Nothobranchius furzeri: one gene and its partner. The protein of the gene in region 2 binds, or shares a complex with, the protein of the main gene of each other region. Links are inferred from orthologs where the notes say so. Each region holds a gene or a part of one and is shown on either strand. Other genes may lie near its edges. The genes, in order: mta3 and cyclin-dependent kinase 2-associated protein 1.

The links.
Region 1: cyclin-dependent kinase 2-associated protein 1 (region 2) and mta3 share a complex: the UniProt entries of both Homo sapiens proteins name them as parts of the nucleosome remodeling and deacetylase (NuRD) repressor complex. The link is inferred for Nothobranchius furzeri from reciprocal best matches to the Homo sapiens genes CDK2AP1 and MTA3.

The regions. Positions count from the first base shown.
Region 1 is NC_091756.1:43,872,937-43,876,757, reverse strand, and holds part of mta3 (metastasis-associated protein MTA3), read right to left. Parts: coding exon 3,747-3,821; intron 3,626-3,746; coding exon 3,464-3,625; intron 2,982-3,463; coding exon 2,950-2,981; intron 2,870-2,949; coding exon 2,754-2,869; coding exon of another isoform or gene 2,750-2,753; exon of another isoform or gene 2,744-2,749; intron 1-2,743. UniProt on the Homo sapiens protein: Acts as a component of the histone deacetylase NuRD complex which participates in the remodeling of chromatin.
Region 2 is NC_091746.1:75,833,743-75,838,280, reverse strand, and holds the start of cyclin-dependent kinase 2-associated protein 1, read right to left. Parts: upstream 2,954-4,538; 5' UTR 2,846-2,953; coding exon 2,779-2,845; intron 975-2,778; coding exon 874-974; intron 1-873. UniProt on the Homo sapiens protein: Inhibitor of cyclin-dependent kinase CDK2. Also acts as a component of the histone deacetylase NuRD complex which participates in the remodeling of chromatin.

The DNA of each region.
Region 1 (3,821 bases), on a different chromosome or scaffold from region 2:
CTTTAAACTAAAAGCTAATGTCACTCTCTCCCAATGACAAACTCCCTTCTGCAGCTGTAATGATGTTGATGCAGTACAAGCTGTGCTAATGGTATGAAATGGTGTTCATTTTCAGTCTCCTAAGTGCTTGTGAGGGCAGAAGAAAGTGGTTTGATGTGCACCGTGTGACGTTAGAGGTGGAGACACGAGTCTTCTCACAAGTAAACAATGTTTACATTAATCAGCTAGCTTTACGTTGGCATCACAGATGTTTCTTATTCACTTTGCTAAATGTATTCCTAGTGCCAGATAACGGGTAAGGATGATACAGAGATGTAAAAAAGATGGAAGGAGAAAAAGGAATCAGATAAACGGAAGATGTTTAAAATGATGAAAGTGCATCAGAAGGATGGAAAAAACCTTTATGAATCAGACTTCATGAAATGGAATGAAGTTAGCTCCTGATTAGAGTTGTCACGGTAACCGGTGTAGGTAAACCCCGGTAAAAAAGTTGACAATAATAATAACTGTCTTGTTTTTTAAAAAAAAATATTATCTCGGTGGAGTACCGTGGCTGCGATGTAGGCGCGGTGACCCTTACCAGCCACCACATCTGCTGAAGTTGCTGGCGGCACTTTGTTGTTTACAGCCAAAACTTTCTTGAAGCTAAAGCTGAAATAATGGCCAAAGGAGGAGACGGCAGCACTCAGGACATTTATTATCCCTCAAAGAAGACAAAATCGGATGTATGGGCATTTTTTTTGGATATTTGAAGAATGCCGAGGGACAGTTGATAGAAGATGGCTATCCTGTTTGCAGCACGTGCAGCACTGTTAAAAATCCAAATTGCAATTAGTTTGGAGAGTTTAAAGTTTTAAGTCAGTTGAACGTTTTAACTTGCAAAATGTTAAGTTAATACAGAAAAGCAAGCACCTAAAAAGTTGACTGAACTTAAAATTGTATTGCAACTGGTTGCTTTACTTTTTTAAGTTCACTGGACTGTCTTTTTTACAGTGAGGAAAAAGTGTCTGAAAGGCAGCAACGCTTCAAATCTCATGACACATCTGCGTGACCATCACCCTCAACTCTACAGTCAACGCAAGGCAAGCTAACGTTAACGTTTTAGCTAAAATGCATGATCTGAGGATTTGGGTTGTGGGAGAATGCAACGAGTCGCTATTTAAAGCAGCCGCAGCGCCGCTACCTGCATATAAACCGTGTCACGGACGCCCCCATACTGAAAAGACGCTATGTATTACGGGGCTCCCAGGGGCAGATAAGAGCTGGTCTCTCTCCGAGAATAATTATGAATTTAACAATGATTACTGCCTGATGACATTTTCCCAAATCTGCAAAGAAGGACACAAACCGAGGACAATATTTTCCTGATATAGGGTTTATTACTCAAGTAAGGGTAAAAAAGTATCTGATTAGAAGACTACTTGATTACTGAGTATCATCTGGTCTAATATTTTTAAAATTATGACATCAAACAGACAAAAATAAGAAGTTATGGGCAAATATTGTATTTTAAAGACTAAAGGGGAAATATGTAAACAAATAAACAACATAATTACAAAATAACACATTTTAGGGCAAAATTTAGACACAAACTGAGGACAATATTTTCCTGATATACAAGGTTTATTTAGTCTGAAAATGTAACACGTTTAAAAAAAATACCGCGATAATATCGAAAATCGTGATAATTTTGGTCACAATAACTGTAAGGTTAAATTTTCACACCGTGACAACCCTACTCCTGATAAACTTTCTCAGATTTCATGTTAGGGATGATCCACGCTGATGTTCTTTAGCCGGTTTAGAAAACATGTCAAGTTTATTACGTTTTAAACACTTCATGAAAATCTGTTTGCTTTGTAATAAAATTGATTGATTGATGATTAGTTGACTGACTGGTTGATTGGTTAATTAGTTTGTTGATTGGCTGATTGGTTAATTGGTTGGTTGATTGGTTAATTTATTAATTGGTTGGTTTGTTAATTAGTTTGTTAGTTGGTTGGCTGGTTGGTTGGTTGGTTAATTGGTTTGTTGGTTGGTTGGTTGGTTGGCTGGTTGATTGATCGATTGCAGCTTCTTAAGTTACAGGAATGATTTCATTTGTGTTCCATTTAAAAATCTGGATTAAAACAAACATTATTTTGATATTCTTTTTAATCAACATTTTTCAAAAAGTCAATAAAATAAATCTTTTGGGATAAATTCTGAATGCTAGCCTCAAAGTTGCCTTTTATAGAACTTAAAACAAAGATGATTTTACATTAACAAACAATAGTTATAGTTGTTTTGGTCAAATGTTGAAAATAAACTGATAACATGATTTCATGTAGATCTTAAAGGAATGACAGCTCAATATCTGAGTTTTAGACCTTTTTGTGTTTTCTAAGGTCATTTAGCTGTGATGGCCGGTTTCTGTTAAGGTCAACTCAGAATGGTAATCACTTAAAAAAATAAACAAAATAAAAATCACTCCAGTGGTGACATATTGATAACATGTCAAACATACAAACAGACAAGAGCAAAAAACATTATTGATAATAAGCTTAAAGGTCAGCTATTAAATAATCTCTCATTATAAACTCTTGATTCAGTCTCTCTGTTGGGCAGTTTACAGATGACTGAAGTCAACACAGGTTAAAAATAACTCCTTTTCAATCACAGCTTATCTGCTGTCAGTATCGCTTTTCCTACATGCACACACGCACACACACAATTAGTCAATCAGAGGTCAATAAAGGGTCACCTTTGCTTACCTGGTCTCCCGGGTGACGAGGAAGAAGCTGTCATCGGGAGCATCGATCCAGTTGGGGCGTCTCTTGCGGATCATCACTCCTCCTCGGTTGTTTCCACTGCTGTTGCGACCATTATGCTGCAAAAAAAGTTATTTTAATGACAACAAGCAGGGATGCAGGAGAGGAACGTTAGCTCAAAAAGTGAACCCACACATACCATGACAGGTCCAGCTGTTGAGCCTGGGTTTTCTGCAGGCCACACCAGAGAAAGGGGTAAACGGTCAGTTGTGAACAATATTGCTACAAAGCCATGTTTTAATTGAGGAAAAGGTAGAAAGTTCCAAAAGAAAAATTGATCAAAATGATGCGTTCTTCATTTTTATTAGATTTAGATGACATTCTGTTAAATGGGCAGAAAAGGTTCAGGGTCTATTTTGTTGAAATGCAAAAGTTTGTTCAGATCTAGAAGCGCTCCGATTCTAGATTTGAGGGCTGATATTGATGTCTGATTCCTGCACAGCCCTGATCTGCTCATTTCACTTCATCTCTAAGAAACATAACGATAAAGTGAGTTTTTTTAAACTCCTGATTAGACTGAAGAGTTTAATTCTGCAAGTAAAAATGTTTACATGAAAAAAAAATCAGATCTCATGTTTCTAGAAACACAATTAGTAAAAGAATAAAATGAGGGGTTCTTATTTTCTTGTAGGATCCCTTCAGTCTCTGAGTACCTGAGCGTCTTTCTGGTTCAGCCCTGCTGTGGTGATGGTAGCTACGTTTTCCCAGCATGCCGTGAGGGCCATGTGGAAGAGACGAGAGGAGGCGCCGAGGGGGGGGTGTCTGCAGTCCTGGGGTGCGATGGGAGCGAGGGGCGTGGGCCACTGGACGGGACTCTGGAAGACACATCACACCGGAGCTGCATGAAGTGGTTCATACAGACCATCTGAATATTTGATGACTTTACTGGTTTGACACTTATGAGGGCGGTGGTCTTGTTTCTTTGTGTGGATTTACCTAGAAACTGCACAACACTGGTCAGAGTGCTCCTTTGGGCGGCTCTGGTTTTGGGTAGTCGGGTCCCCTGGCCCT
Region 2 (4,538 bases):
TGCGCTTTTATCATTCTGAACCGGAAGTTGACTGCCAATGTTGAGGGTAGCTTGACAAAGCGGACATTTGTTGGCTTTATGTAAGCTGATGGCAAGTAGTGACATCTGACTGTTTAGTTTGGATAATGGGCTCGACACACGGGAGGCGACGTCGCCTCTCCTCCATTAATTTTCAATGAGACATGCGTGACAAAGCGATAATCGCGGGTCTCCCTCCTACCAAGCGAAACGCGAAAAACGTGCGTGTGAAACTTTGCACTCGTGCACGTGTCGTGCACGGACGACCCAGCGACGCGATCCCAGAAAGTTGAAACATTTTCAACTTTTCATCGCTGTCGCTCGGATGAGGACCAATCAACGGAGGTTTCATTCACTGACCAATGAGCGGACAGGATGCTCCGTACATCTCCGAGCAAACATGGAGGAGAAGTTGATTATTATTATGTTTTATAGTAAAATCAGAAGTAAGATTTCACATAACTCTAGCAGCACCTTGTGAAACATCATATCTACCACTTTATTAACTCTGAACCGCTTAAATAACCTTAATTCCCTCCAACCTGACACAGCCAATCAAAACAACGGAAGTTTCGATTTCGCCGTGGAACAGAACGCGTAGACGGCTTTGCCGCTGGCCGCTACCGCGGATCGCCTCCCGTGTGACAGGTAATAAAAGCGACGGCGACAAATTTCACTGATCGCGGTCGTTTGTCGCCTCCCGTGTGTCGAGCCCCTAATAACCGATTATGTGTTGGCAGATGGTTGATATTTGGATGTGGAGTTTCTTGTATAATTTGTTTAAGTTAGACTACACTGTACCTCTAGTACACTAAAATTTAAATAAAACTTCTTTTGGCCAATGGCAGCAGTCACCTGCGAGAATCCCAGAGATGGAGGTCCATAGTCGCTCAGAATGGGCCTGTAGGACTGCAACGTGGCCAGGTTAGCTGCCGACGGAGAAGGAAGGTTCCCAACTGTATGGAGAACAAATAAAAAATCCACATCAGTTCAAATAAACATAGATATTCAATATATGGCTAATTTGTCGCTATTGCAACGTCGTTGCAGCGATCTGCCGTTGATGTCCACGCCCAGTTAAGAGGTTCTGAAACGCTAAAACTCACAGCAAGTGTTGGGAATGCTGTGGTGACAGAATGGAGGAGCGAGGACAACGAATAAAACTGAATGTTTCCCCAATTCTGTGTAGCATTGTTCTCAATATCCTTTCATAAACAGTAGGAGGAAAATATTTATACAACATTTTTATAGCCTAATGACCAGTTAAAGCGCTTTACACACACACACACACACACACACAGGATTCAGAGTCTTGCCCAAGGACATTTCCACATGTGGGAGAAGTCAGGATTGAACCACCAAAGATTTCAAACTGAAGCAATTCTAAAGTAAATATCCTCCCACCAACCAAAAGCGTGTCTTTGGGTGTAAATGGCTGTCTCTGGTGTGAGTCAGAGTGGTTGCTTGTCTCTGTGTTCCTGTGAGGGACTGGAGACTTGTCTAGGGTGACCACTCGTCCGCAGAATGCTGAGACACCAGTTCCCCAAGACCCTATAGAGGATGAGGCGGCACAGAAAAGGAGTCTTCTTCTTTGGCTTTGGGCATGTCCCTCTACAGCCAGTCATCTGTCTCCTTCTAGTCCTGTCTTCCACATCCTCTACCCTCACACCAACTAATGTTATGTCCTCTTTCACTGAATCCCCCCTCAACCTCCTGCCTGCTGACTCCACCCTCGGCATCCTTCTACCTACGTAATGTTTCCTCTGGACCTCTAAGTCTGGTCTCTCTGACTTCATCTCCAAAACAGTGTTCTGCAACCCTGGTCCTCCAGATCTCCTATGTTTTAGTCATTTATTCGTCCCAACAAATGTGACTAACATGCTTCTGCAGCACTTAGTAATTCAACCACTGATTCAGGTTCTTTGGAGCGGGGAAACAAGTAAAACATGCTGGATATGGGAGCCCTCCAGGAGCCCGCTGACCTAACATGAGCTGTCCCCCTGATAAACTCACTCCTGATGCTCATCACTCCCAAACAGAGCCAGAAAATGAGTGAGTGAAAACACAAAGTTCGTAAAATAAAACAGAGGGCTTTTCTTTTGTTAGACATGTTTTCTGCCTTCACTACACCTGGAACTGTAGTGACATCAACAATATATTGATATACTAAAACTCTTTTTAAAAACGCGTTTAAAGAATCTCACGTTGATTGTTCTATTGTAAGCCAGTGATGCTAATTTCATGTAAAACCCGTTTGTGAACACGTTATTAACCCTCTCACACAGCGCCGCGCTGCCTCTTTGTTTAGCTGCAGTACCCGTGTCCAACACCAGGTGTCCTCGATGGGACGTAAAATTCTCAGAGGCAGATCAATCGGCAGCTCCGACCGAGGAGCATCATGGAGGGAACAGAACAAGGCTGGCTCAAGAAGACATAAGTGATACATTTTTGTCACCGTGTAACGGCAACCCCCCGGCGGGACCGCGGCCCCGGACGACGGAGAAACCCATTTTCGGAACCGCCGCCGCCTCGTTTCTCATCCCCACCGTGTTTCTCGGCCGCCGCGGCTCCCGGATGGCGCTCTTTTACATTAGTAATAATGGCGGATATGAATTAGCCTAGCTCCCAGGATCTGACCCTATATATATAACTGGACAAAAACTACAGACACGGTCTTCTCCAGGTATTCTCCGAGACCCCGAATTTAACACTCGATTTAACAGGCGGATGCTTGGATTTTCTCCCACGGTTTCGCCTTACCCTGGTTCCCAGAAGTTCCCGGAATGTGCTGATGGGCATTGGGTTTATAAGACATTCCCAGAGACATTGTAAATTAAAGAAATAAAAATGACCCGAAATTCAGTGAAGCGTCTGTCTCTCACTTTTTGTTTACAACAGCGGCACCGGCAAATATGGCCGTCACTTTATATTGACACCCACCGAGTTTCTACCATCCACTGCGGCTCAGCAGGAAAAACACTTAAAACACGGTTTTCACCAAGAAGGCGTGAAAATCAGCCGCTTTTACACACATTTAGCCTGATTTTATGTAAGAAAGTTAACTCCGGCCCACGGACTTTTAACACTTACAGAAGAATCAACTTTTGAAGGTTTTTATGTTAACTTTGAAATTTTATTTTTCAGATTAAAAGAAAATAATGAGTTTTTACATCATAACAAGAAACTTGATGCAGATGTTTGGAGATGCTTAGTTTGCGTTAAGTCAAACAAATGAGCGAGTTTTATTTACAACACTTAAAAAAATTATGAAAGAAAATAAAGAAATTAAATTACCTAATTTGTTTTGTGTGGGAACTTCCATCGTTTTATTCGCGGATGTTTTAAACCAAAAATCAAAGCAGAAGGCAGGAGCTGTTCTGGTGACCCATGTGCTCGTCTTCTTTTTAAAACTAGGCTTTTCAGGGATCCCTTTTTTCCCCCATCAGGCCACGTGGTTGGACAGTGTTAGTCCCAGTGTCGTGACCCCAGTAGGGCAGGGGCCCCCACAATCGCTGACCCGAGGCTGGAGCACGTTTTTATGGAGCATCATCGCTGGCAACTTACAAACTAAGCGTAATCACAAACCGCTGAAGTAAAAATAGGCAAAGGTAATCCACAAAATAAAAGGCTATTTTCATTTGTATAAGTTTATACAGAAACTATTAAAAAGTACTTGTAGTGGCTTTTTGGACAATTGTACACTCTCTGTGTAATGCACATTTTCCAATAGCCACTAGTATTATATATATTTATACATACTTTAATGCTATTTTAGCATTAGTTGTAGAATTTTTTAAGTCTAAACCTCTATAAGGACACAATTTAAAAATGAAAATACATAAACCTGAAAGTAGCTACAAAAAAAAATTTAAGTTAAACCATCAAATTATGAAATATAGTCAATAACTAATGTTTTATATTTGGTGTTTATTTTCTAGTTTGTACAAAAACCAACAGGGTTTATTGAGAATGCACTCCTTCTTGCACAGGTACTGGTGAGTCAGTACAAGTCTTGTCACTAGTGCAACTCCAGCGATGATTTAGGTGGGAGAAAGTCCTTCTGTTGTTTCCGGAGAATCTTAAGCGACCCTTCCCCTTACAACAGCATTCAAAAACAACCTGCACACACTGCAGTTCGTGTACATGACAAAAGCGCGAGGCGTCCGCTTTTAAAAGGTGCACATTCAAGTTAAAACGTAAGCTGCGATTCAGGAGCAGCTCCCCCAGTGCTTTCCAGAGACTGAGATCCACCGTGTGAAGAATTCCAAACTGTACAAATAATACAAAGGTCTGTTTTTAAATGCATCGTCGGTCAAGCAGACGTGGATGCAGACCCACCGCCAGCTAATCCAGAGGATCGGGGTATGTTCGAGAAACCTGCCCCACAAAAACGCATCCTGAGTTTAACAGCCAGTCTTCAGACCTAGTGAGATGTAGGAGTGAGGGGGCAAAAGGGTCACACTTTACCACAGAAAGATTTAATTACAACAGGACCTAAAGAAAGGAGACACCCGTTTGAA